7 linked regions of the Xenopus tropicalis genome follow. The protein of the gene in region 5 interacts with the protein of the main gene of each other region in a pairwise test. Links are inferred from orthologs where the notes say so. Each region holds a gene or a part of one and is shown on either strand. Other genes may lie near its edges. The genes, in order: fam117b, pogz, ppic, l3mbtl3, banp, map2k1 and mrrf.

The links.
Region 1: the proteins of banp (region 5) and fam117b interact in binary tests that used the Homo sapiens proteins (3 or more experiments, as listed by UniProt). The two-hybrid records come from large-scale screens. The link is inferred for Xenopus tropicalis from reciprocal best matches to the Homo sapiens genes BANP and FAM117B.
Region 2: the proteins of banp (region 5) and pogz interact in binary tests that used the Homo sapiens proteins (3 or more experiments, as listed by UniProt). The two-hybrid records come from large-scale screens. The link is inferred for Xenopus tropicalis from reciprocal best matches to the Homo sapiens genes BANP and POGZ.
Region 3: the proteins of banp (region 5) and ppic interact in binary tests that used the Homo sapiens proteins (3 or more experiments, as listed by UniProt). The two-hybrid records come from large-scale screens. The link is inferred for Xenopus tropicalis from reciprocal best matches to the Homo sapiens genes BANP and PPIC.
Region 4: the proteins of banp (region 5) and l3mbtl3 interact in binary tests that used the Homo sapiens proteins (3 or more experiments, as listed by UniProt). The two-hybrid records come from large-scale screens. The link is inferred for Xenopus tropicalis from reciprocal best matches to the Homo sapiens genes BANP and L3MBTL3.
Region 6: the proteins of banp (region 5) and map2k1 interact in binary tests that used the Homo sapiens proteins (3 or more experiments, as listed by UniProt). The two-hybrid records come from large-scale screens. The link is inferred for Xenopus tropicalis from reciprocal best matches to the Homo sapiens genes BANP and MAP2K1.
Region 7: the proteins of banp (region 5) and mrrf interact in binary tests that used the Homo sapiens proteins (3 or more experiments, as listed by UniProt). The two-hybrid records come from large-scale screens. The link is inferred for Xenopus tropicalis from reciprocal best matches to the Homo sapiens genes BANP and MRRF.

What each region holds. Positions count from the first base shown.
Region 1 is NC_030685.2:52,491,244-52,494,884, reverse strand, and holds part of fam117b (protein FAM117B), read right to left. Parts: intron 1,732-3,641; coding exon 1,585-1,731; intron 1,371-1,584; coding exon 1,299-1,370; intron 416-1,298; coding exon 205-415; intron 1-204.
Region 2 is NC_030684.2:144,795,300-144,799,726, forward strand, and holds the start of pogz (pogo transposable element with ZNF domain), read left to right. Parts: upstream 1-1,504; 5' UTR 1,505-1,712; intron 1,713-1,836; exon of another isoform or gene 1,837-1,858; intron 1,859-3,134; 5' UTR 3,135-3,188; intron 3,189-4,427. UniProt on the Homo sapiens protein: Plays a role in mitotic cell cycle progression and is involved in kinetochore assembly and mitotic sister chromatid cohesion.
Region 3 is NC_030677.2:169,409,364-169,413,684, reverse strand, and holds the start of ppic (peptidyl-prolyl cis-trans isomerase C), read right to left. Parts: upstream 2,931-4,321; 5' UTR 2,823-2,930; coding exon 2,724-2,822; intron 1-2,723. UniProt on the Homo sapiens protein: PPIase that catalyzes the cis-trans isomerization of proline imidic peptide bonds in oligopeptides and may therefore assist protein folding.
Region 4 is NC_030678.2:83,384,384-83,388,655, reverse strand, and holds the start of l3mbtl3 (lethal(3)malignant brain tumor-like protein 3), read right to left. Parts: upstream 2,906-4,272; 5' UTR 2,869-2,905; coding exon 2,804-2,868; intron 1-2,803. UniProt on the Homo sapiens protein: Is a negative regulator of Notch target genes expression, required for RBPJ-mediated transcriptional repression. It recruits KDM1A to Notch-responsive elements and promotes KDM1A-mediated H3K4me demethylation.
Region 5 is NC_030680.2:65,883,069-65,886,709, reverse strand, and holds part of banp (protein BANP), read right to left. Parts: intron 371-3,641; coding exon 131-370; intron 1-130. UniProt on the Homo sapiens protein: Controls V(D)J recombination during T-cell development by repressing T-cell receptor (TCR) beta enhancer function. Binds to scaffold/matrix attachment region beta (S/MARbeta), an ATC-rich DNA sequence located upstream of the TCR beta enhancer.
Region 6 is NC_030679.2:117,157,159-117,160,799, reverse strand, and holds part of map2k1 (dual specificity mitogen-activated protein kinase kinase 1), read right to left. Parts: intron 3,219-3,641; coding exon 3,008-3,218; intron 2,894-3,007; coding exon 2,747-2,893; intron 2,466-2,746; coding exon 2,388-2,465; intron 2,193-2,387; coding exon 2,141-2,192; intron 1,579-2,140; coding exon 1,454-1,578; intron 1-1,453. UniProt on the Homo sapiens protein: Dual specificity protein kinase which acts as an essential component of the MAP kinase signal transduction pathway.
Region 7 is NC_030684.2:36,483,896-36,488,207, forward strand, and holds the start of mrrf (ribosome-recycling factor, mitochondrial), read right to left. Parts: upstream 2,913-4,312; 5' UTR 2,883-2,912; intron 1,525-2,882; exon of another isoform or gene 1,504-1,524; intron 1,261-1,503; 5' UTR 1,253-1,260; coding exon 1,099-1,252; intron 988-1,098; coding exon 832-987; intron 1-831. UniProt on the Homo sapiens protein: Responsible for the disassembly of ribosomes from messenger RNA at the termination of mitochondrial protein biosynthesis. Acts in collaboration with GFM2. Promotes mitochondrial ribosome recycling by dissolution of intersubunit contacts.

The sequences.
Region 1 (3,641 bases), on a different chromosome or scaffold from region 5:
AGATTATATATATATATATATCTCAAACTTAACAGTAGAAAGCACTCACAGCTACAGCATCAATCAGGTCAGTGATTTATTTCAGCATACCATCTATGGTATGCTGAAATAAATCACTGACCTGATTGATACTGTAGCTGTGAGTGCTTTCATATATATATATATATATATATATCCCCTTTTAGAGACTATCGGCCAATATACCTTTGTCTCGAGGATCTGCAATATTGTCATCAGCTGGGCAAGGGCTTTCCTCGTTGCACTCATTAGAGATTGTAATGAAAGAGGCTGGTGACACGGATTGTGAGCGGCTGCTATTGTTGCTTCCGCGGTCAACCCCTCCAGGTGTCTGAGTATCTATACTGCGCAGAGCTAGAGGTGGGGGAGCACGATGTCCATCTGGGATATCTTGGGGCTATTAAAAAAAATAAAAACAAACCAAAAACTTCAAAACACCTTTTTACATGCAGTTTAGTTAACATGCATGCTTGTGACTAATGGTTCTCCTGCAAAATTCTGAAATGAGCAAGATGCATGGTGAAAAAATGTTGCTCATGTTCCAGAACCCTTACTGAAAATGAACATGCTACATTTAACTGGGCAGCATCAGTCTCTGCTCTAATGAAAGCAACAATGCACAAATATACTATTTTAAGAAACTGTTTAAAATATATTTAATACAGAAAAATGGTTGAGTACTTATAGTTACCTTATTATACTGCTGCCAGAAGCAGGCCGCTAAGCCAGAAGGGGTTAATGCTTTATGTTTCAGACACAGCAAAGCACGTACTGCATTCTACACACTTACACAGACATAACTAAATGTGTATTACAAAATTACCCACTTCTTTGTGGAGACCTTTTTTTTTTTTTTTAAATACAAATTTCAAAAGATAATGCACTCCACAGCAAAGATTTTACATAATTTTGGACTGGACAACAGTACTTTCATAAATAATACACGGCTAAAAATAATAATAATCTGCTAAGACTTGTGCATATTCGAAAAGGATACACTATAAACTGATAAAACTAAGCATGTTCATTTTCATGTAAAAAACTTAAAATGAAATAAAAACTTAGAACAAAGTTAGAACAGACAAAGAAAAAACAAGAAAACAACCTACAAACACAACACAATGTTTGAAACAGTAAAGAAGTTAGTCCTATTCTGAGAAGAGAGAGGAAAAAAAATAAAATTAAAAACAGGTCACAGCCTTAGAGGCAGGAAGTGTTTGATGGGCAGTATAACATTTTCAATACCATACAGCACTTTGTGCTCCAAGCTAATAACTTACCTTTGGGAGCAGGTGCAGAAAACCCATTGAAGTGTTCCCATTGACATCAGGAAGGCCTGAACAGTCTCCATGCTGGGAAACCACAAGGATATATGCTTCAAGATGAATAGTGGCGTATCCCACCCTCTTAAGTAAGCCCATAACATGGAGGGTGAACATTTAAAATAATATATGCTTCTTGATTCCATGTAAAGCGGAGAATGTGAATGTGAAACAGAGATGCCTTCCCCATGGTAAGTCAAACTAATCTGGGTATGGGCAGAGTTTGCAGGAAATTTTCACTTACCAAGAGTTGCTCTTCCTTCTCTCCATTTTCTTTTGTAATTATCTCAATCTCTTGGTTCAGCCCCTCTACACTGTTGCGAAATCGAGACCCAGAGGATTTTGTAATGGGAATAGTCACTGGAGTAAGTACATTTTTGGACATCGAACTCTGTAATAAAAGAGTGTTATCAAAATGATACTGAAGGAACTTCACAGCAGGCTGATTGTGGAAGGGTTGGATAGTAAAGGAACAAATACATCTGCATGGACAATACCCTACTGGAAATATAATTTGTGACGGTTTGTCAAACTTTCATGTTGCGGCATATACTAGTTTATAGGAAAGCATACTGTGGCATTTTTTCAGTATGGGCTATAAAATAATGAAGGGAATTGTCTACGCTGTAAGTTTTCTCAGTTAGGGCCTCCCTTGTCTCATCATGCTACCAAAGATTCCCCTTATCTAACAAGCCTTTAGAACCCTTCTTTTATGGGACAAACACAACAGGAGGTGACAAGGAGCATGTGTCTGTCTATCAATGAGGCTGCAGCAAATTATTCAAAGTTTAAACTGCAGGCTGAGCCAGTAAGGGCTCTGGCACACGGGGAGGTTAGTCGCCCGCGACAAAACTCCCTGTTCGCGGGCGACTAATCTCCCCGGATTGCCATCCCACCGGCGAAAATGTAAATCGCCGGTGGGATGGCATACGTGGCGGCGTGATTTAACTGAAACAGAGCCCTTACACATTCATGGAAAGGCTTAGGGGGCATAAAGTGAATCAAAAACAAACGTTCAGCTCTTAGGCGAATGCCACGCGAAGAAGCTTATGGCGCATATTTTCAGCAAGTCGAAAAACAATTGCCGAAAATGCGCTCCATACACTCCTACCTGTGCCTGCACCTGAATGAACTAAATATGCTTGGGTGCAGACACTTTTAACCGATAACTGGATAAAAACGTAAGAAAATCCAAAGGCTACAGGTGCTGTACCCAAGTATATTCAATATTCAAGTTTGGCATTGCACAAGAAGTTATGTCGATATATAAACATCCGCCATCTTGCATGTGTACCATAAAGACCATCACTACCACTATGTATACTGGGAGACAGTTTGGGCATCTCTCATTGTTTTGTTTATTTGGTTTTGTTAAAATTTACAGCAGCAAAATGTGACACCCATGTAAAACTGGCACTGGTTTTGACTGGTAGTGAAACCTTGTGGAAGGCTGCTCCCAAATAAAATGGTACCTGTGGAAAAGGTATGCAATAAAGTAATAAGCATTTTAACATAGTGAATCACCCTATTAAATCTTCTTTAAAAAGTGACACAAAGGGATTAACGCAAAAGAATCACCTAAGAATTCTGAAATTTGAAGCAGCACAAGCAGGATGTCCCCCCCCCCATTTGTACTATTACTACATCGTAAATATGTACAGCTCTGCATATACAATAGCACTATATAAAGATACATATTTATACATAAAATTTTAGCTGCCTCCAACCCCAGCAACTAAATAGTTTTTTTTGTTGTCTTTTCAGGGATGCACCAAATCCTGGCTTCGGTTCGGGATTCGGCCAAATCCAAGCTTTTTTTTTTTTGTAAGGATTTGGTTTCAGCCGTATCTGCAGTCCCGGCCGAACCAAATCCGAATAAGCATAAGCTAATTAGAATTCGGAAAGGGTTAAATGGGCAGTAAAAACCCCTTGCCATCCTAATCAGCATATGCTAATTAGGATTTGGCCGAATCCTTCTGGGTGGGTTCGGCCAAACCCAAAAAGTGGGTTCAGTGCATCCCTAGTCTAAAATTATATTCCGACTGTATATAATGTAGATAGCCAGATATAAAACATATGCATGGAATGCTACTCTGGGCATTTTGTCATTACACTGGAGGAGATTAAGTGAGGGCAACAAAATGTCTCATCTGCCACAGGCCTTCTCCAACATTTACTTCAAACCACCAGGTGAGCCGCAAGAATCCCACTCCCATCATAACAGTACTAACTGCAAGGCAAAAGTAACAAAAAGTGGAAAGAGCAACGCAAGCAGTACTTTGCTGCAATGTTCTTGAAAAT
Region 2 (4,427 bases), on a different chromosome or scaffold from region 5:
GGCACAGGTTACATAGCAGATAACACACAAGTTCTGTAGAATACAATAGTGTTTTATCTGTTATCTGCTATGTGCCTGTGCCTTTTCTCCTTTGAATGGCTGCCCCCATACTACACAGCAGCTTATTTATATAAATTATAGTAGACTTTCTGAAGTAAACACACAACTTTTACCAGTGCAGAGCAGCAGCAGATTATATTTTAGTTACTTTTATACACTTTCATTTTTTGGTGTTACTGTTCCTTTAAATAGGGCCATTGGGCCATTTCATATTTTCATTAATGACACAGGCAGCCATATTGCTACTAACAGGGAAGCAGGAGGCCATTGATATGACAGTAATTAAAGACAGAAGCAGCCATATTGTTACACTGACAGCCATATTAAATAGCCATTGGACAATTATTATTCTACATAGTTATTAGTGACACTGGCAGCAATATTGCTACACACAGAAAGATTGTTATGAAAGACTTTCTAATGACACACTGACACACATATTACACTGTTATTACACACAGTTACTAGTGACACAGGCAGCCATATTGCTACACACAGGAAGACACTGTTATTAAACACTATTATTGACACAAGTAGCCATATTATGACACTGACAGCCATATTAAATTGGACCATTGTTATTTTTACAGTTATTAATGACAGGGGAGCCATATTGCTACACATAGGGAAGTAGAAGGCCATTGTTATTACACACAGTCATTAGTACCACAAGCAGCCTCATTATTAAAGTGGAAGCCATATTAAATAGCCATTGGGCCATTTCATATTTTCATTAATGACACAGGCAGCCATATTGCTACTAACAGGGAAGCAGGAGGCCATTGATATGACAGTAATTAAAGACAGAAGCAGCCATATTGTTACACTGACAGCCATATTAAACAGCCATTGGACAATTATTATTCTACATAGTTATTAGTGACACTGGCAGCCATATTGCTACACACAGAAAGATTGTTATGACAGACTTTCTAATGACACACTGACACACATAGTACACTGTTATTACACACAGTTACTACACACAGTTACTAGTGACACAGGCAGCCATATTGCTACACACAGGAAGACACTGTTATTAAACACTATTATTGACACAAGCAGCCATATTATGACACTGACAGCCATATTAAATTGGACCATTGTTATTTTTAGTTATTAATGACAGGGGAGCCATATTGCTACACATAGGGAAGTAGAAGGCCTTTGTTATTACACACAGTCATTAGTACCACAAGCAGCCACAATATTAAAGTGGAAGCCATTTTAAATAGGGCCATTGGGCCATTTCATATTTTCATTACTGACACAGGCAGCCATATTGCTACTAACAGGGAAGCAGGAGGCCATTGATTAAAGACAGAAGCAGCCATATTGTTGCAGTGACAGCCATATTAAAACACATTGAGCCATTGTTATTTCACACTGTTGCTGCCCCTGTCTATTCCATCAAGGGTAGGGCCTTGCAGCCGTGACGTCACGGACCGCCTCAGGCAAGCAGCCAATCAGGAGACGCGGAGGAAATGAAGTCACGGTATCCATCCGCGCCGTGTGGCCCGTGTCCCTCCGCGCCGCTCTCCCCTCTTTGTACGCAGCTGGCGGTTAGTGTCCGGCGGGTGTGACCGGGGGGAGGGAACCCCGGGGCGGGACCGAGCCTGGGAGCGAACGGGGCTGCGCGGCAGTAGGAGGAGGTAAGAGGCCGAGTGGGCGGGAAGGATGTACGGGTAGGCCCTGGGGCCCTGCAGTGTCGGGGTGCGGGAGTCCAGGCCACAATGTAACCTTCCACCTCCATGTTGCTTCATGGGGATTATTTTGTGAGGAGGAGCATGGTGTAGGGGTGAGGGCTCCCTGCTGTGAGTCTGTAGTGGGGTGTAAGCATCAGCACCCATGGGTGGGACAGCACCAAGGGGAATGGGGGGCTCACACAAGTGAGGGGTGGGACAATGGCAGCACCAAGGGGCCCCTCAGGCACAACTATATTATTATTATATTGCTGTGTATGTATATATATATATATGGCTGCCTGAATGCACACAGCTATCCCTGTCATGTACTGGCCAACTGGCCCATATATATATATATCATAGAGATGTGCGCGCCCAACGTTTGGGCCTTTATTTGCCCCCTTCCTCAGGCCGCAAGGATTCCCAGCCCCGCGGGTTTGACTCTGTGTGTATATATATATATATATATATATATATATATATATATGGCTGCCTGAATGCACACAGCTATCCCTGTCATGTACTGGCCAACTGGCCCATATATATATATCATAGAGATGTGCGCGCCCAACGTTTGGGCCTTTATTTGCCCCCTTCCTCAGGCCGAAGGGATTCCCAGCCCCGCGGGTTTCACTCTGTGGCCGTAGAACCGCATTTATGCGAATCCAGTTGCCCAATCCGTGATCTCCGGCTTTAGCCAATGAAATTGGAACCTGTTAGGGTTTAAAGGGGAAATATTGCGTGAAAAAAACATATGAATTGTACTTATCTCCCTATAGAAGGAATGGGCTTTAAAAAGTAGTGTTTTGGGTGTATTTATTGAAAATATCTTTATAAAACTCCACTAGTCCCGCCCATCTGTCCCACTTCCTGCTGGTTCCTTTCCCAGGCCCGCCCACTTCACCTTAGCACAGGAACCAATCAGCAGCTAGGCTGACCTGATAGGGACCCGAAGGCTGTCTGTGCTTGTGATTGGTTCTCCCACTCCTACTGTGCTTCTGGCAGGGACCGTTGGGACACGCCCACCCCTCATATGAAACCCAGACAGGGACCTGAGAGGATCTATAGGGAGCTCCAATAAAGGGGCCATTGTTACAGATTAATGTTTAGCCCAAAGGGAAACCAGCAGGTCCATTCCGTTTGTGTCCATATATTCTCTCCTGTGGGATATAGGAACTCTGGGTCGTTACCATGGTTACCTTTGGGCACAAAGTTCTTGTTCTGCCCTCGGATCATACCAAATTGAGCCCCAAACGGAATTTCGTTGGAAGTTGCACAATGTGTACCGGGCGCTGGGCCCAGAGCACCGGGGAGCCGAGTTCTGTTGGGTTATTGTAAATGAACCATAATTGCGAAATAATGATTTCTATTTATTTTTGATGTTTTTAGGATTAAAGGCAGAACTTGCAGCTGAATTCTCCGTGTCCAGGGATCAAATAGAAGGTACTGTTGGACTCTCGGCTCTGTCGCTGTATGTAGGAGGTTGGACTATTGGTTGGACTATTACAGTTGGTACATTAGTTGGTCAATTTCCCAGCAGCCCCTTCAGCCCCTACTGAGCATGCTCCCTGAGCGTTACTAACGTCTGTCCCATAGCAACTGTTACAGTTGGTACATTAGTTGGTCCATTTACCTGCAGCCCCTACTCAGCATGCTCACTGAGCGTTACTAATGCCTGTCCCATAGCAACTGTTACAGTTGGTCCATTAGTGGGTCCATTTCCCAGAAGCCCCTTCAGCCCCTACTGAGCGTGCTCACTGAGCATAACTAATGCCTGTCCCATAGCAACTGTTACAGTTGGTCCATTAGTTGGTCCATTTCCCAGCAGCCCCTTCAGCCTCTACTGAGCATGCTCCCTGAGCGTTACTAACATCTGTCCCATAGCAACTGTTACAGTTGGTCCATTAGTTGGTCCATTTCCCTGCAGCCCCTACTGAGCATGCTCACTGAGCGTTACTAATGCCTGTCCCATAGCAACTGTTACAGTTGGTCCATTAGTGGGTCCATTTCCCAGCAACCCCTTCAGCCCCTACTGAGCATGCTCACTGAGCGTTACTAATGCCTGTCCCATAGCAACTGTTACAGTTGGTCCATTAGTTGGTCCATTTCCCAGCAGCCCCTTCAGCCCCTACTGAGTATGCTCCCTGAGCGTTACTAACGTCTGACCCATAGCAACTGTTACAGTTGGTACATTAGTTGTTCCATTTCCCAGCAGCCCCTGAAATGGAACCATGAAGGATTTATAAACCCCAAAGTATGAGTATGAAGCAGTACAGGGGTATATGTAGCCCCCAAGCATGGTTGCAGAATGCCTACTGCCTCTAATACCCCAGTCCATACCCCGGAACTGACTTTGTGGCAACAAGAACACCCTGACTCTTTTGCATTTAGGTCTCCTCAGAATTTTCATGGGGTTCCACGTGGGTCTTTATTTCAGCATGGCAGATACACTAAACTCTCACCCCCCCCCCCCCCCCCATTTGCTGGTTATAATGGGCGGAGTCTGCATAGGGAAGCCACGCCCTGCTTCATTTGGCGCTCTGTGTTTTACAGATTTAACAGAACCCAAAACGCGTGTCAGCTCTGGGGTCACGTCTTTTGGGGTTGGGATTTGGCACATCCCTCTGTTTTTATAGTATATTTGTTTCAGTGAAACATAAAGGACTTTGGTTGAATCAGATT
Region 3 (4,321 bases), on a different chromosome or scaffold from region 5:
ACCCACTGGGCTGTTAATGGAGCGGGGGGCTAGCTGCTACAATTACTGACCCACTGGACTGATAATGGGGCGGGGGGCTAGCTGCTACTATTACTGACCCACTGGGCTGATGGGGCGGGGGGCTAGCTGCTACTATTACTGGCCCACTGGGCTGATAATGGGGCGGGGGGCTAGCTGCTACTATTACTGACCCACTGGGCTGATAATGGGGCGGGGGGCTAGCTGCTACTATTACTGACCCACTGGGCTGATAATGGGGCGGCGGGCTATATGCTACTATTACTGACCCCACTGGGCTGATAATGGGGCGGGGGGCTAGCTGCTACTATTACTGACCCACTGGGCTGATAATGGGGCGGCGGGCTATATGCTACTATTACTGACCCACTGGGCTGATAATGGGGCAGGGGGCTAGCTGCTACTTTTACTGACCCACTGGGCTGATAATGGGGCGGGGGGCTAGCTGCTACTATTACTGACCCACTGGGCTGATAAAGGGGCGGGGGGGGCGGGGGGCTAGCTGCTACCATTACTGACCCACTGGGCTGATAATGGGGCGGCGGGCTATATGCTACTATTACTGACCCACTGGGCTGATAATGGGGCGGCGGGCTAGCTGCTACTATTACTCACCCACTGGGCTGATAATGGGGCGGGGGGCTAGCTGCTACTATTACTGACCCACTGGGCTGATAATGGGGCGGCGGGCTATATGCTACTATTACTGACCCACTGGGCTGATAATGGGGCGGGGGGCTAGCTGCTACTATTACTGACCCACTGGGCTGATAATGGGGCGCGGGCTAGCTGCTACTATTACTGACCCACTGGGCTGATAATGGAGCGGGGGGCTAGCTGCTACAATTACTGACCCACTGGGCTGATAATGGGGCGGCGGGCTAGCTGCTACTATTACTGACCCACTGGGCTGTTAATGGAGCGGGGGGCTAGCTGCTACAATTACTGACCCACTGGACTGATAATGGGGCGGGGGGCTAGCTGCTACTATTACTGACCCACTGGGCTGATGGGGCGGGGGGCTAGCTGCTACTATTACTGGCCCACTGGGCTGATAATGGGGCGGGGGGCTAGCTGCTACTATTACTGACCCACTGGGCTGATAATGGGGCGGGGGCTAGCTGCTACTATTACTGACCCACTGGGCTGATAATGGGGCGGCGGGCTATATGCTACTATTACTGACCCACTGGGCTGATAATGGGGCGGGGGGCTAGCTGCTACTATTACTGACCCACTGGGCTGATAATGGGGCGGCGGGCTATATGCTACTATTACTGACCCACTGGGCTGATAATGGGGCAGGGGGCTAGCTGCTACTTTTACTGACCCACTGGGCTGATAATGGGGCGGGGGGCTAGCTGCTACTATTACTGACCCACTGGGCTGATAAAGGGGCGGGGGGCTATATGCTACTATTACTGACCCACTGGGCTGATAATGGGGCGGCGGGCTATATGCTACTATTACTGACCCACTGGGCTGATAATGGGGCGGCGGGCTAGCTGCTACTATTACTCACCCACTGGGCTGATAATGGGGCGGGGGGCTAGCTGCTACTATTACTGACCCACTGGGCTGATAATGGGGCGGCGGGCTATATGCTACTATTACTGACCCACTGGGCTGATAATGGGGCGGGGGGCTAGCTGCTACTATTACTGACCCACTGGGCTGATAATGGGGCGGGGGGCTAGCTGCTACTATTACTGACCCACTGGGCTGATAATGGGGCGGCGGGCTATATGCTACTATTACTGACCCACTGGGCTGATAATGGGGCGGGGGGCTAGCTGCTACCATTACTGATCCACTGGGTTGATAATGGGGCGGGGGGCTAGCTGCTACCATTACTGATCCACTGGGTTGATAATGGGGCGGGGGGCTAGCTGCTACTATTACTGACCCACTGGGCTGATAATGGGGCGGTGGGCTAGCTGCTACTATTACTCACCCACTGGGCTGATAATGGGGCGGGGGGCTAGCTGCTACTATTACTGACCCACTGGGCTGATAATGGGGCGGGGGGCTAGCTGCTACTATTACTGACCCACTGGGCTGATAATGGGGCGGGGGGCTAGCTGCTACCATTACTGATCCACTGGGTTGATAATGGGGCGGGGGGCTAGCTGCTACCATTACTGATCCACTGGGTTGATAATGGGGCGGGGGGCTAGCTGCTACTATTACTGACCCACTGGGCTGATAATGGGGCGGTGGGCTAGCTGCTACTATTACTCACCCACTGGGCTGATAATGGGGCGGGGGGCTAGCTGCTACTATTACTGACCCACTGGGCTGATAATGGGGCGGCGGGCTATATGCTACTATTACTGACCCACTGGGCTGATAATGGGGCGGCGGGCTATATGCTACTATTACTGACCCACTGGGCTGATAATGGGGCGGCGGGCTATATGCTACTATTACTGACCCACTGGGCTGATAATGGGGCGGCGAGCTATATGCTACTATTACTGACCCACTGGGCTGATAATGGGGCGGCGAGCTATATGCTACTATTACTGACCCACTGGGCTGATAATGGGGCGGGGGGCTAGCTGCTACTATTACTGACCCACTGGGCTGATAATGGGGCGGCGGGCTAGCTGCTACTATTACTGACCCACTGGGCTGATGGGGCGGTGGGGCAGCCCGTTTCTGGCTTTGCTCAAGAGTTGGAGTGTTCGGAAGTAACGTGTTACCTTGGCAGTCACGACAGGTCCCCTCTTCCTGTAGCCATGAGCTGTGGAAAATAAGAACAAGACAAGCCCCAAGAGCAGCAAGCTACGGTACCTACACATCTCCAGCCTAGCTGGCAGCACCGCCACTATAGCGGTATGGGATAAGCCAGCAACGTCAGCAAAGCTCGGCTCCACCCACAGAGTCAGCCCCTAGCCCTGGCTGTCCCCGCCCCCTAACGCTGCGCTTTATTCCTTAGCTGCGGGAGAAATGCGACAAGTTTGGGAAGGCTGGGCTTGGATAGGAGGGGCTGGGATAGGAGGGGACGGACGCCTCTCCAAAAACCCTTCTCCGAGCAGCGGAAGAGTATATTTCTGCAGTGTGAGAGTCGCTGTTGCAGGATTAAAGCCGAGAATTCTAGGCACCTACACCGTCAAAAATCAATTAAAAAAATGTGCATCCGCATGAAATCTAGTACCAAAGGCTGCTATAACTGTGGGCATTTGGTTTAAGTCAAGAAAGGGTCGGAAAGTATTATGGGTATTTGTGACAAATGATAATTGCATACTCAGTATGTTTGCTTCTCGTTCTAATATGGCTAGCTTGGGGGAAGCACAGGCACCCTCTCTCTGGCTTTACACTGCCGCTCAGCTGTGTGACCCATCACTATGGCCAGCAGTGTTTTGTTTTTTTTTATCTTTAGGGGCCCCTGGCCAGCAAATTAAGAGAATGGGAAGGTGTTTTCCAGAGACTTGTCACCTGTGGGTACAGTCTGCCAATCCACATAGGGGCTACAAAATAACAAAATACAGACTTTTTTCATGCTTGTGTTGCTACCCAACCTTTTTTATATTCACAGGTTAAAAAAGTTGGGGACCCCTGATGTAGCTATTCTGAGACAATTTGCAATTGGTCTTCATTTTGTATTATTTGCAGTTTTTTAATTATTTAGCTTTTTGTTCAGGAGCTCTCCAGTTTGGAATTTCAGCAGCTACCTGGTTGCTAGAGTTCAATTTAACCTAGCAACCAGCTAGTGGTTTGAAAGAGACACGGGAATATTAATAGAAGGGAGCATAAATAGAAAAATAAGTAATAAAAAGTAACAATGAAATTGTAGCTTCACAGAGCAACACAGGCTGCCGGGGTCAGTGACCCCCATTTGAAAGCTGGAAAGAGTCAGAAGATGAAGGCAAATAAATCAAAACTATAAAAAAATGAAGACCAATTGAAAAGTTTCTAAAAATAGGTCATTCTAAAACATACTAAAAGTAAACCTGAAGGACAACCACCCCTTTAATAACCCCTTGGCCAAAAGGGTTTTATTTACTTTTCCTGTCTGTTTGACCTTTGGTTCTGTGGGGAGAGAAGTGGAGTTTGGGGGTTGCCGGCCCAGGGGCGGGGTTGGCGATAGCAGACCTGGGGGGCCCAGAAAATTTGCTGACTAGGTTAGACAGATACAGAGGAGGAAGTTGTGTTCTGGCTATTATGTTAGACATCTGTTAACTTCAGCCTTTTGGCTGACTATATTAAAAACATCTTTTTATTTTGCACCCTCTCTTGTATGGCCAGGGAAAGGGTTTCTTAATACAGAAGGCTTCTCAGTGGTTTGCTGATTTGTTTG
Region 4 (4,272 bases), on a different chromosome or scaffold from region 5:
TCCCCAAAACATTCTTCCAGTATCCTTCTCATTTGCCCCCATCATGTAATAACAAGTGGTGGGGGCAAAGACAAGGGAGCGCAGAGTAGGAGTAGGCAGGAGAGGTACCTGCCTGGCACACCCATTGTTGCACCCTAGGCAGGTGCTTCTTCTGCTTACCCCTAGTTCCGGCGCTTCCCTGGTTTCCTTTGTAACTTCTCGGACTATAAGACACCTTCCAGATGGAGTTATTTTTGATGGTCAACCACTTCTGGGTAGGGTAACAACAGTCTTAAATTTCCTCCATTTGTATACCATCTGTCTGACTGTTGATTGGTGGAGTCCAAACTCTTTTGAGATCATGTAATCTTTTCCAGCTTTATGGGCATCAACAACTCTTTTTTTTGAGGTCCTTAGACACCTTGTTGAGCTATGATACACATCCACAAATGTGTTGTATGTGTGATCAGGCTTTGCTGGTACCCCCTTTTTATTTTATATAAAACAGGGTCTCTAACTCACACCTGATTGTCATCCCATTGACTGAAAACACCAGACTGAATTCACCTTCAAATGATATGATAATCCTAAAGATACACTTATTGTTGCTACATGCAGATATGTTATTGGATCATTTTTTTTTCAATAAATACATGACCAAATATAATAATTTTTGTTTCATTTGTTACACTAGGTTTTCTTATTACTTTTAGGACTTGTTTGAAGATCAGATGATGTTTTAGATCAAATTCACAAACTTCCAAGCATCACTGTACGTATGTATGTGTGTGTGTGTGTGTGTGTGTGAGTATGGTGTATATGCTGTGGAAATGTGCTGCCAGGAATACCAGGAATTAAATATTGAAAAAAATAATAAATATACCAAGGAAAACATTTAAACAAGATTTTCAGATTATAAACTCATTTGGACAATGCTTTACCTCTTGCATTAGTTATTGGTTGTTTCTGTATGTAAATTTGTATGTTTAATCCATACATACTTATTATTAGTTTATAGGGCTACATATTGGTGCTTTATAAATATGTGTTAATATTAATAATTAGTCACTCACAGCACATTATAACAAGCATTTAAAATCTTTTGGTCATATATAGGAATCATTGACAAAACCTTAATTGTATCCAGTTAAAATTAATTACATATATAACATATTACATACTAATATTTTATATATATATATCTATATATATATATATATATATATATCATGAAATAATCCATGGCCGGCACACCCTTAAAATTCAAAAAAAAACCAGGTTTTTAAACAATGAGTTTTCAATAAAAAAATTTTTTTGAATTTTAAGGGTGTGCCGGCCATGGATTATTTCATGCTAAATACTCAGATTTTGGCTGTGCACCCCACAGAATACTAAAGCCTTGGAGTGCAGACACCATCAGGACTGATATATATCCCCTTTCTGACATAGGGTCAGTTGGGTTTATGTAAAAAAACAAGGATAAACACTTAACAGTATTCCTCAGATTGAGAATAATACATAATCATCTGCTTCTCTGCTTCTAATTAACAGGGATTATTTTTCACTATCCATACAACCGCTCCTTGATCTTTTGTCATGTGATATTATCCAGAGACGTGAAGTTCCTCTCAGAGGAACTCCTCAGAGAATTTATGCACCTCCCACCATGGAAGCACAGGGACTTCAAGCCCCAGAATGTATCACCTTTATATGGAAAAAGATAAGGGAGGGGTTATATGAATCTGCCAGCCTTAGGGGGATGGGGAAATGGTCCCTGTGAGCCACAGGCACACTACTGTGTATTTCCTGGATTATTAAAAAAAAAAAAAAAGAAAATTATATATGGGCAGTTCAGATAAGTAATTTCAGTTTGTGAATTTCATATATTAATATGAATTACACAGCCTTGTACAGTGACTTCTACTGTATATTGAGAGTTGGTCCCTAAGAGCCAGTAACTGACAGCTGTACAGATTGCATGGTGCAAAACAGCTGAAAAAAATGGGGAGCTACAAGGGCATCTTTGGGGGGCACAGATCTTCACTAACAAGGTGCTGTAGTGGCTAGTATGCAATCCCAACACCTGATGTCCAGCTAGGCTACTGTGTTAAGCTTCCTAAATTAGTGAAAAGTATGTTAACATCTCAAAATGAAATATATTTGTTTTGATGCATTCAGCATGCATTCCCATAGTTGGATATTTAAAGAGGTGTGCGGTGGCAAACCCTTCCATTCCAGTCAAGACACAAGTAAAGCAGAGATATACTCCTAATATAAGACTACAGCATTTATGGCTTATTTTAGGAATGTGTAAAAGTGTAGTTAATGTTACTACCTAAAACTAATAGTAAAGTTGCTGCAAGTTTGCATGGAAGGTTTTCTCTGAAAGCATTTTTAAAATCTAGTTATATAGTTTATATAGACTGCTAATTTTCTATGCTAGTATTGCAGGGAACAATAATTCTTATTATGTGCACCCCTTTCTCAATATATAATACTCCATACTCCTCAGCCAGTTTTCTGGCAATCCTGGAGCAGTTTATTGTGTTAAACTGATCAACCTGGAGATGATTAAAGTCCTGAAACATTCTGTAATAGGAGGGAGGGGGGATTGCTGCGGTAAGTCAGGACAGTGTGCAGCAGGTTAGGAGTGCTGGGGTGCAGCTTGCCTGCCGGATACTGATCCGTCACTGTACTGCTAGCTCTCTAATAAGCATCACACACAGTTTCCTGCAATATCACGGCTCTCTATTCCTCTGGCTGCAGCTATTCCCTCATTTCCCCGTTTGCAAAGCAACACTACCCCACACACGGCAAAACTCCCCTCTCACTATGCAGACCATCACTTCTCACCACTCTTCTCTCTCCCGGAGCCACCTCTTCCACCATAAGATGGCGTCAGGGGGCAGATCCTAAATTCACACCGCCTCTCTTTGTTGCTACGGTAACACAGCACATTCCCACCCACTGCCCCCCGCCAATCAAGCAGGGTAATTTAAGGGGCAAAGAGTGGGGCAATTAGGAGTTCTGTTTTATTAGTTGCAGTCTGAATGATTATAAATTTGGTATGATAAGGATAATATAGTAGCCCTATGTGGTAACTCCAAAGTTCTGAGCATTATTGAGAAATTGAGTTTTCAAGAGAAATGTAACCACATTTATTATGGAGACTGGCATTAACTAAAAAGCTCGCCTACAGGGGGCGCAAAAGTAAAATAAATAGCTGCCACCGAATTGCGTTCGATTAAGAGGAGTGGTTTATCCGTGACTGCCCGGCTATGGTGGCTAATGCGTGGCATTCCAGTGCTTTGTACAGCTACATAATAAAGCATAGCATTGAAGAACAAAAAAAACATGAGTCTAGGTTGATAAAATATGTATACTAGGGGAAAACAGTATTTCTGAAAATAATCACCCAGCAAATTAACTTTGTGGTTAATTTAAAGGACATGTCAAAACCAAAAATAATGTTTTGCCTAATAAAAGAAAACATAACTATAAGCAACTTTCCAATATGCATTTATTAAACATTTTAGAGCTTTAAAAGTAATTTGTAATTGCTATAGAAAGCAGCATTTGCTGAACCCCTGGTTATGACTTTTTAAACAATGTAGGTCAGGCTCCTCCAGCAAGGCAGGTCTGTCAGTCTGCTGCCTTGTGTTACATTGTTTCAAACCCCAGAGCCACCAGGGCAGAGAGTAGAAAGGACAGGCAGACACTGCTTTAAAGTAACAGTAACACCAAAAAATGAAAGTGTTTTAAAGTAATTGAAACATAACGTACTGTTGCCCTGCACTGGTAAAACTGGGGTGTTTGCTTCAGGAACACTACTATAGTTTATATAAATAAGCTGATGTGTAGCCATGAGGGCAGCCATTCAAGCTGGAAAAAAGGAGAAAAGGCACAGGTTACATAGCAGATAACAGATAAGACACCATTGTATTCTACAGGGTTTATCTGTTAGCTGCTATATAACCTGTGCCTTTTCTTCTTTTGAATGGCTGCCCCCATGGCTACACACCAGTGTTTATATAAACTCTAGTTATGTTTCTGAAGCAAGCACAAAACTTTTACCAGTGCAGGGCAGCAGTACATTATAGTTTAGTTTTTTTTAAATTTATAATTTTTTTGGTGTTACTGTTCCTTTAAACAGCAGCTATACAGTCATGGTCAAAATTGTTGGCACCCCAGAAAGTATTTCTCACAGAAAAGTATTGCAGTAACAGATGTTTTGCTATACATATGTTTATTCCCTTTGTGTGTATTGGAACAGAACAAAAAAGGGAGGAAAAA
Region 5 (3,641 bases):
TACGCCCTGAGAGTGCAGACCTCTATTTTTGCATATATAGTTTCTATGCAAAAATACATGCATACATTATATGAAAAGCAGGAGGAAACCAAAACTTACGTTAGTAAAGTTCATGAATCACTTTACTTACATCTTATTCCGTAGATCATTAATGGATCCAGTTGCTTTTTCCCATGTTTCCCCTGGCCTGACAAGTTGGAGATAGCCTGGATTTCTCGATGGAAAAGATAATCAAGTAAAGTAAGCGCCATCTTTTCAGCTGTTCGACAGTTGGTACTGATGTGCAGCATGTCAGCTGCTGTTATAGGACTTCTTACTCTCATCTCTGGATTATGTTCATCCCCCAACCATGTACCATTAGGATAATCCTCTAAAAAGCAAAAGAAGTACATATTACCATTAAAAGCTTTAGCATGCATACAAAACATAGGCTTCCCATTTAACAATACATAGAAGAGGGTTGGAAAGAAGGTGGTAGGACTTAAATCATAAACAACATGGATTGGAGATTGGAACAAAATATACATATTTGATGCAAACCATTGTTTTAGAAGTGATAGTGAAAATCTGTTGCATCACTATATCTGATTCCATGCCTCTCACAAAAATTAACCTGTTACAACAGATATATATGATTATTTGAGTTGTTATTTAAGTTGAAACAGAAACAGATATAAGGATTGTGCTTCCCAAGAAAGATTCTTGTCATTTGATTTGAACCATGGCACAATATATGTCTATGAACATACTCAGTATATGCCTTTATAGTACTGTAAGATCAGACAGCACATTAAATGGACAGAAAAGTAATTAAATATAACATAACATTGCACTCACCAGTTCTAATAAATTTATTTAGAATATTCTTACAAAGCTTTGGTCACATTTGATGACTTTCTCAAAGAAACTCATGTGGGGGCAGATTTACTAAAAATAACTTTTTTTTTTTTAATTCGAATAAACTTGTTTCTACGAATGTCTTACATATACTAAAAAGTCTGAACTGGAAAAGTCACAGAAAAGTTGGGAAAAATCACACATTTTTCAACTTGTCACATAAAAACTGTGTATTTTTAGAAATCTTGCACAAATAATGGCGCCAAATATCCAAAACCTCTAAAGTTTGTATTGAATTTTTAGCTATTTTGACAAATAAAAATCTCAGAAAAGTGGCAACTTTTAGGGCTCTGGCACATGGGGAGATTAGTCGCCCGCAACAAATCTCCCTGTTCGCGGGCGACTAATCTCCCTGAAATGCCATTCCACCAGTGAAAATGTAAATCGCAGACGCCGCTGTGATGGCATTTCGGGGAGATTACTACAGTGTGTAGCTGCCTCTTGAATACCAGAAAGAAAGCAAATTATGTTCACCGTTCACCATGAAAAACCACTAGTAAAAGCATCACACCACATAACAAATCTAAGAAAAAAAATACAGTAACCTATAATTTGAGCTACATTAAACTCTGCTCTACTAGCTATCTATTCATCTATCGAAAATACATCTTCATATTGAAAATCATCAGGATGTATTTTTTTCTTTTAAATTACATTTTTGTATAAGAAGGCTGCTTCTTAAGAATAATTAAGAATAATTATATTTTTTAAATAGCTGTTTCATCCCAGAAGGCAGATTCCATGACATCATAAAACAAAGATTATACTTGCTCAAAAAAACATGCTGGAAAGAAAAATAAAGCCTCTCAAGTCTTGAAAATGTGCATGCTCAGCTTTCATTCAATTGGTCACAAATGATTTTGAATGAATTTATCACACAGTTCTGCATGACACTGTTAAAACATGCTCCTTTTTTGCCCCATTAATTAAGAAAGCCCCATTTCCTCAAAAATCCCATTCTGCTTTATATACTAATTTTTCGACTGCTCACTGTGTACTAAGTATTTGTTAGGGTTGCCACCTGTCCCTTTCAAAAACCAGGTTCTCCAGGTCAAAACCCCCTACCTGCTTTTCTAAATTAGGAAATCTGGACAGGCCTCCCCTTAATTCATGTGGCAATCGACCAATCGCTGGTTGTTATGTCATAGCCCGGCCAACTGCTGTCACATGCCTTACACCAACATCTCATTCCACAACTGTACCCGGAGTTCCTGCTGCCAGAAGGTGGCAACTCTAATAGTTATTAAAGGCATACCCCATTTTTTAATACAGTATACCATAAATAATGATCCCTTATCAGATAAGGTATGGGAAGTTGATTTTAGTGTGCAAGTTTAGTTGTTGTCAATCATTATTCAAAACAGAGAAAGTAAAATGAAACACCTGCCCAAAAAAATATTCAAGGAATCTAAGTATTTTATTATTAAAGCCTGGCTGTTTATTTTTATTACAAATCTGGGTGATATTCGGTCTCAGGGAATTATATGAAAACTTCTGGTAGCTGTGTTACCAAGACACAGAGTTGCATTAATATTATAAAAACAACCCGTTCCTAGCTTACATAAATAAACCTGGTCTCTGGAGCAATTAAATAATATCTTTGGCTGATTTGTCAGTGAATCAAGCATTTACTTAATAAAAAAGGCTTCTTTTAGTTTTGCAAACCTATTTTACAGTTACAAAAGTTCAGAAAGGCCAAACTTTCTCTGTGAGAATCCAGACTTAATGAACTTGAGAACTTAAAGCAGTATATTATTAATATCTAAACAGGCTCTGTGTCAACGCTGCTGTTGGTCACTAAAAGTATAGAATTCTCAGTATTAGAGGAGTTCCTAGGCTGAAAGAATAAACTCTTGCTGGCATTGAGTTTTGGATCTGCATCCTGTGCCCTTGTTCCAAAGGTTCTGCATTTGATTCAACGACATCCCTTCTAATGCATTCATTTTTGTTCTTAAACTCAGACTAAAACTAAACAAAATAGCAAATGTTTTAGTAAAATATAGTTTATTAATGAATATTCCCTTTATGGGCTTGCTTAATGGCACTACATTTTCAGTTATTATGTGACTTTTGCATACTTCCTAAAAGACTGTTTATTGTTTTTTTTCATATAAAGTTTTATATAAAGCACCAGTGCCCAAAACCCTATTTGTAACACTTATGGGGATATGGGACAATCCATAATCTGTTGAGTTTGTGATGCTGAAGAATAGGTGTCTACAAAAACATGTAAAAATGATTTATAGGAAAGCTAAAGCTTAACAAAGGACTAGAAATGCTGCACTTTATTTTTTGAGATTCTGTAGAAGCCCAAGGCTACTACAGCTTGTTTGCAGTAAAGATCTGTAAATTTGAAGATGCCCCAAGTAGATTCCTATCATTTTTTTTCTGCTGATCCATAACACATGCTCTCTGCTGCTGCCAGTTACCTAAACTTAAAGACGCACGAAATACTGCATATTGACAATATAAAAGTCACAATGCGAAGCTGATTAGTAATTAATTCAGGTCCATTATATGACAGCTCAGAAACCAGTGCATTCTGAATCACAGTTTAATAATTAGCCCGGTAGCATCAGCATCTATGACGTCATTTTTGGCTTGATGATTTGAAATGACCCCTAGCTTTAGCTTCTCACCAGCTGCCCAGACCACGGAGCATTTGAGTGTCACTAACACTCAAACACTAACAAAATCAGACAGTAACTATCTGTGAACAAACTTTAAAGGTCCAAATCAATACT
Region 6 (3,641 bases), on a different chromosome or scaffold from region 5:
TACCTGTAGTAAGTACCTCTTGCTACCCCAGGTTGGTGTCCATTTTTCTGGTTCTGTGTGTGTGTTGTAGAATGTAATTTTCTAAGAAAATTTTGTTTTTTTTACAACTGCTTAGCTTTTTGTTAAGCAACTTTTCAGTAGGGTCGCCACCTTTTTTTGGAAACACCAGGCTTCCTATATTTTTAACTTTTTTCCCCTTTTAATAACATTGGCATAAAGCATCATTTTTACTGCCCAGGCTGGTAAAATAGTGGCCATGTGGCAACCTTACTCTCCAGTTTGGATCCTAGAAGCCAGATAGCTGTTGAAAGTCCAATGTACCTTGGTAACCAGGCAGTGGTTTGAATTAGAGACCAAAGAACAAATAGGAAAGGGCCTTGATAGAAAAAGAAGTCATAAAAAGTAACTCGGAACAACAGTTTTTTCCCCCATTTGAAAGGTGAAAGAGAAAGGTAAACAATTTAAAAACTATAAAGGAAACAAAGGAAAAGAATGCAAAAAGGCTGCTAATAGGACATTCTATTCTTCTGAAAATTAACTTGAGATTGAATTACCCATATCAACTTCCTTTTACTACTTCCACAATTGTTCTGAAGACCTAAGAAAGTTAGCAAACGGAAGTACTTTATTTGTTCTGCACTAACTGCTGCAAGGTGCACAGAACAGGGCTATTAACAAATTCCTTGCTTTTGAGTCTGCATTACTTCATGGGTACCAAGATGACTTACCTGGTTATAGGAGTTCCTCCCTAACTTATACATCTATATCCACCCCTACACACATACAAACCTTTGTAACTGACCAAGTGTATATGCACTTTGCTTTGTAGCATTACATAATATATACACCATCTGTAATGTAGTAATTAGGGCAGACTCCTTCCAGAATACAAAGAACAAGCATCACCACCCCCAACAGCCAGAATGTGACGAGCTGTAATTACAAACACACACACACACACACACACACACACACGGAGCATTGCACAGTGTGGGAGGGCATTCTCCATCTGCTGCCTGACACACAGTGTGAACACACGTGACTCTGTGCAGAGTGCAGTCGATGCATAAACACATAACATGGCAATAGGAGATCAGCTCCAATGACTGTAACATGTTTCAAATGTATATTTACCTGAAAAATTCACACATTATTGCAAATTCACCATGGAAGGGGTAGGACCATGTTTATTAATATACATTGAGAAAAATGTGGTGTGTTATGGTTTGGGACCCTTGGGGTGTTCAGATCCTAAGAGCAGTAAGATGTATATCAAAGTGAATCTGCCTCAAATAATAGAAACAGCTTTACAAAACCCTTACATGACTACAATTAAATTAATGTACATTTCGTATTTGGGAACCCCTGTGCAACATTGTATTTTCACAAGCACTTAAGAATAGCTGTCACTGAACATATGCTCTGGGGTGAAGAGGAACTGGAGGACACTTACTGACATATAGGATCTTGTCCCAACAAAGGAATTTGCCATGGAGTCTATTAGCTGCCCGCTGACTCCAAAGTCGCAGAGTTTTATCTCTCCCCTAGAGTTGACTAGGATGTTAGAAGGTTTCACATCTGCAAAACAAACAAAAAAAAAAAAATGACTTTTAAAAGGGACATATACCTAACCCAATAACGGAATGTAAAATTGGTAAAAGTGTGTGGGGGCTGGGTAGAATGGCAAAGCTTATTTTATTGAAGCAGGAAGCCTCTCTTGATGCTTTCCTGTTCAGTTCTATTGCTTAGTGACAGGATCAATAGAACACATCCTGATTCAGAAAATAAAGCTAATGTTGTTTAGCAAGGTTGTTACTAAAGAAAATAATAACATTGCAAAGGGGCTCATAAAAGCACTTTGAGCTATTAAACATTAAGATTTACGTAGGGTATATGCCTTTATGCTACTGGAAGCACATTATTTCTCCTCAAACACCTAATCCTAGTTAATAGGAGACATCTCTCTATATAAAGCCATTGTGGTTGGCATGGCACCATTAGTGCTACAGTGAGTTTTTTTTATTGTTACGCTATAACAGCGGTTTTCAATACAGAATGATCTTTCCGGTCCTAAGCTGAACATTTTAAAAGGCGTTATACATCAATGAGTCAATGAGGGCCCTTCCATATAGAAACTTACCTCTGTGCATTATCTTATGCTTCTCTCTCAGGTAGGTTAGACCTTTTATCACCTGCAGTTAGAAATGGATATCAGAATTTGACAGGAGCAAGTGTAACACATGACATTAAAACTTGTAGTATAAATTACAGCTTTTACTTTCCAGGATGCCCTCTATATGAATGAGCATATAATTGGAAGGATTTGATTTTGTTGGATAGTTTTCTTATATATATAAATCACAAATTTGCATTTGCTAAATACTCACTGCAATGCTGACTTTTCCCAAAATTTTCTCAGGGATTTTGCCAGCTTTCTTCAAAACCTGATCAAGGGAGCCTCCATCCTGCAGGGGCAAAAAATAGAAGATCAAGCAAAGAAAATACAAGTTTACACACAGGCCGATTAGTTGCCGCAACTTTTAATTAAGCCAGTAAGACTTTTCAAAGCAGCGACTAATCGCCCTGTGTGTCTTCGCCCTAAAGGTGTACACCTTGTATAGATACAGTCCTGAGTGTATCTGATGCCTCAGCTAATGACTAGAGCACAGTTTAAATCTCCTTATCATTAGCTCATTATCCCAAAGGCTCTGAGCTCTGGCCTTTCAAGTCCCTCCCTAATTCTCACCATGTGTTCCATACAAATGCTGATCTCTCCGTCACTGTAGAAGGCCCCATAGAACCCCACAATGTATGGGGAGTTACATTCATGCAGAACCTGCAACTCTCGGATAATCTGATTTCTGATTGCAGGCTTTATCTCCAGATGAATTAACTGCCAGAAAATAATAGAATATGTCAATCATTGTATTCTTATGCACAAATTAATAACAAATTCACGTTTTCCTTCTGTCTTTATTTCTACTTAAACTCCATTCAAAAATCTCACCTTCCTGGCCATAATCAAGCTAGTCGGCTTGTGGGACACCTTAAACACCACTCCTCCATTGCCTGCTCCAAGCTCCGACACTTTCTCAAAGTCATCATCCTTCAGCTCCCCAACTTTCTGCTTCTGGGTGAGAAAGGCCTCTAGACGCTTCCTCTGCTGCTCATCCAGCTCCAGCTCTTCCAACTTTTTCTGCAGAGCTTCAAGGTTTGTCCTACAAAGAGAAAAGGAAAATAAGAAATCTCAAAGGAGTTTTATGATTCTATAAAAGCAGTGATCCCCAACCAGCTGCTCGGGGACAACATGTTGCTCACCAACCCCTTGGATGTTGCTCTCAGTGTCCCCAAACCAGGTAGTTATGTTTGAATTCCTGACTTGGGGGCAAGTTTTGGCTGAATAAAAACAAGATTTAGCACCAAATAAAGCCCCCTGTAAGCCGATAGTGTGCATTGAGGCTACCTAATGGCCAATCTCTGCCCTTATTTGGCACCTCCATGAACTTTTATGGTGCTTGTGTTGCTTCCCAAGCCTTTTTACATTTGACTGTGGCTAACGAGTAAGAAAAGTTGGGGACCCCTGATAAAAAGGATCAGGGTTGCAGGACATGTGGTTTCACTTTATGGGGTCTGAGCTGACC
Region 7 (4,312 bases), on a different chromosome or scaffold from region 5:
CCCCTTTAGATTAGAGGAACGGAGCTTCCATTTGAAGCAGCGTAGGTGGTTTTTCACGGTGAGGGCAGTGAGACTGTGGAATGCCCTTCCTAGAGATGTCTAACCCAGACATGCCTAACCCAGTGAGGCCAAAAAGGTTCGGCCATTGAGGTCAAGCTGTCACAAGACAGGAAAGCAAACGATATGGTACTGGTAATGGGGAGATTTTAAAGTTGTATGTTCTTTTCTTGGCCTCTGTATCTGTTAGTACAGACCTTCTGGGAAACGTTAAATTCATGGGGGTTATTTCTCAAAATGTTTTTTTTTTTTCTTTCTACAAATTAAAAAAATTGCCATACATTTTTAGGCAGGACAGCTGTGTTTTCTAAGCACACTGTCACACACAAAAAACTCAAATCATGAAAAGAAAAGAATACCAACGTTGATAAATAACCCCCTATATGTTGCTATCGTGTGAATGCTAAAAACTGCACTCCACAGCATACATACTTGAATTAATGGTACTTGAGGAGGGAAATAGATGCATTAAATTCTTATTTTGCTATGATCCTGTTGAAGTATGTATCTCACAAACTGATTATTTAAAGAAGGCCTTCTGTGAAAATGAACAATAACATCTTTAATTCCGGATACATTTTTTATTTTTTTCTAATATCTGTACTGGTAATAAATTAAATTAAAGTTTCAATGCAAGGTGTGTGAGCCATCATAAACTGTAAATATTTACTATATTCTAACCTGAAAAATGGTCTGTTTACAGGTACATGATGAACAGTTTTGTCACTGCACAGTTCTAGAATAATTCATATATGTGGGAAATGACTCACTAACCTGGGGAAGTTCGAATACTTAAGTTTTTAGTAAAATCCTCTTTAAGATTCTCCAGTATGCTTTTCATTTCTTGTTTCACGTCTTCCAGGTTAATAATGTCTTCAACAAGGGCAGCATTTAGATTTACTCTTGCTTGAACTTGTCCTTTACTTTTGGCTACATTTAAACACAGTAATGGGACTAGTTATTTCTCTGTATAGCATAAGGTTCCCATTTAACAAAAATGCTAAATATTTATCCCTTCAGTTGCTGAGGACAACAACATACCTTTACTTTTCTTAGTAGCAAGGTGCCTACTTATAAAGGCTATAGAATGTTCTTGCGATTTTACTGCTAAAGCACTTCTCTGCGGTCCCAATGATGTTGCTGTTCGGAAATGGAGTGCCACAGGCTGCAGTCTACACAAGCACCTTAGAGCCATGCCTTGTTCTGGAAATAAATGCATAAAATTGTCATAAAGAAACATGAAAGTGTGGAAAAAACTGAATTAATAAGATGATTGTGGGTCTTGGCCAGCTGGCTATTGTTGTATAAATATTTTGAACTTGCAGTCCCAGCATTGATTGATTAATATAAAAGCAAATGCAGAGTGGCAATTGTTTACTTTATATGTTTTATGTTGCACAATATGATGCCAGCTTGCATTACACAGAGTATATGTTTTTCATGCACCTGCATTTGCTCTCACTGCATTCCAACAAAGTTGCACACTATCAGTCTCTATCCACCATGGACTATATTGCAGTTTGCCATAAAAAAATTAAAATGTACTTCTTAAAAATACATTTGTGTTTCTCCTTCTCAGATGTCCTAGTAGCACTTCAGAAGTTTCTAATGCAACTGACATTCTTGTGCAGTCGAAGTAAGCCATGTACATTGGCCTTAAGTGGTTCTTAGCCATCTAAGATATGATTGCTCAAAAGTGCTGTATTGTGCCACAGCTTCTAACCACGTTCCTTGCTCCACTTTGTCTGAATTTCATCAGAGAGTGTGTTTCAATAGAGCAGATATGTTGGGGTTTGAGTGTTAATTACCAATAGCAGGTGAAGGGCCTTTTACTGGGCAAGGAAGGATTTAATTTGGGGTAACCGCTGAAAAATACTTGTTGACATAAACCCTTAGGTTCTGCAATGATCTGCCCATCAGAAGTGGGGGCAGAAATCGAATCCATTTTTAAAATGGCCATTTAAAAGAGATGTCCACCTTTTGCAAAGTGGGTACTGCTTACAGTACACATAAAGACGCAGAGATTGGCAGCAGTTAGAAATTATCACAAAGATAAGGCTTAAAGGAACAGTTCAGTGTAGCCAGAACACTACTTCCTCCTTAGCAGCTCTCTAACCTGTAACCAATCAATGACTTGAGGACATAACTATTTGCTTTTCCATCTGACCTGTGTGCTCAGGATCAAAAACAAACTAAGTGAACAGGTATGTCCCATGTGGCCACCCTCAAGTCACTAACCAAGAGATTAGAGAGCTGACAGGAGGAAGTTCTGGCTATTATGTTAGACACCCACCCATTTCAGCCTTTATAGATTACATGTTTGGCTAACTATATTAGAAATATTTTTTATTTTGCACAGCCTATCTATTTACCCAGTTTCGTTTTTACACTGAACTGTTCATGTGCTGGTTGTCATTATTCACTTATCCTAATGGTTGACAATATAATTAGCACTATGCAAATATAATGCACTAGCCTCACTAATGACTTCTACCTGCTGCCAATTTCTGCATTTATAGGAGTCCAAAAGGGAGTCAGTGACCCAACACAATAATACAGCTTTACCAATACATTTTTGGTAGTGTATTGTCAACGATAACATTGCTTTTTATTTAGAAAGCCCTACCACATGTGGAAATCATTTCTGTGAGCCCCAAACAATTCTTTCATTTGCAAGTTGTATTACAACTCCATGATGATATTACCACACAACTAATACATCATCATGAGTTGTATAAACCTCAGGCTTCAGAAAAGACACAATAATATACCAATAATACCCAACCAAATAAGCGTTTTAATAGATGATATAATTCCCGTCCCACCTTCGCCTTTGGTATGCTTGTCTGCCTTCCTTACGTCATGAAAATGCGCCGCCCCTGAGTGCGGTCCCGTTGCAGTGACGTAAGCAAGTGGAAAGATTTGCTTTGGAAGCTGAACCTTTGCGGCGATATCTGGGAGAGAGGAGGCTAGCGAGAGCTGTATGACATTGTAGAGCTCTATTCGTTTTGTAGCAGGTATTTATTTTTTTCTTAAACTGTGTTTTCGTTCGTGTGGTGAATGTTGGGTATTGGGGAAATGACACCCTGTTTGTTCCCAGCTGAAATTCCGTCTGTCGTGTATGGCCTATAACTGCAATCTTTTGCAGCCTTATCTTCCCTTACTACCAGTGTAATGCCGTTGGGTAAAGTGTAAATATGTAGCTTTGCAATAAGAACAAAAGCCTCAGGTTTTCTTTTTAGGTTTAGGACCTGTTAAACAGAATGCTCAGGACCAAGGGTATTCTGGATAAGGGGTCTTTCTGTAGTTGGGATCTCCATACCTTAAGTCTACTAAAAAATGAATAAAACATTAATTAAACCCAATAGAATAGTTTTGCCTCCAATAAGGAATAATTATATCTTAGTGTCCCCATACACCTTAAGAAGCAAGCGGATCTTCTCCCGATATCCCCCACCTACGGGTGGGCGATATATGGGAGAATCCAGGCTAATTCGATTGTTTGGCCCTGGGGCCAAACGATTGAATTATAACGACGGGTATAGGCAAAGTTTGTCCGGGGACCGCATCAACGAGCCGATGTGATCCCCGATCCGACTAGATTTTTTAACCTGCCGATCGATATCTGGCCAATTTCAGGCCAGAGATTGGTCGGGCAGTCTCGTTGGTAGCGGTCTAAGGGATCAAGTACAAGGTACTGTTTTATTATTACAGAGATAAAGAAAATCAGTTTTAAAATTATTTGATTAACATGGAGTCTATGGGAGATGGCCTTTCCATAATTGTGAGCTTTCTGGATAACTGGTTTCCGGATAAGGGATCCCATACCTGTACTAGTTAGTGAATGAGTTATCTCATTACTTCTCTCATAGGAATAGGATTACTCTGAGGTACTGACTCTAAACATGGCAGCAACAGGACGGGAAGCTTTGTGCATTGTAGTAGACTCAAACATGGCAGCTATACAGGGTCAGAAAATGGCCACCTATGGGTGGGCGATATTGGGAGAATCCAGGCTAATTCGTTTGGCCCTGGGGCCAAACGATCGAATTATAACGACGGGTATAGGCAAAGTTGAGTCGATGCGGTCCCCGATCCGACTAGATTTTTTAACCTGTCGATCGATATCTGCCCGATTTCAGGCCAGAGATTGGTCAGGCAGTCCCTTGGTAGTGCCATACACGGGCCGATTAGCTGCCGAATCAGTCTAACGGATCAAGTACAAGGTACTGTTTTATTATTACAGAGATAAAGA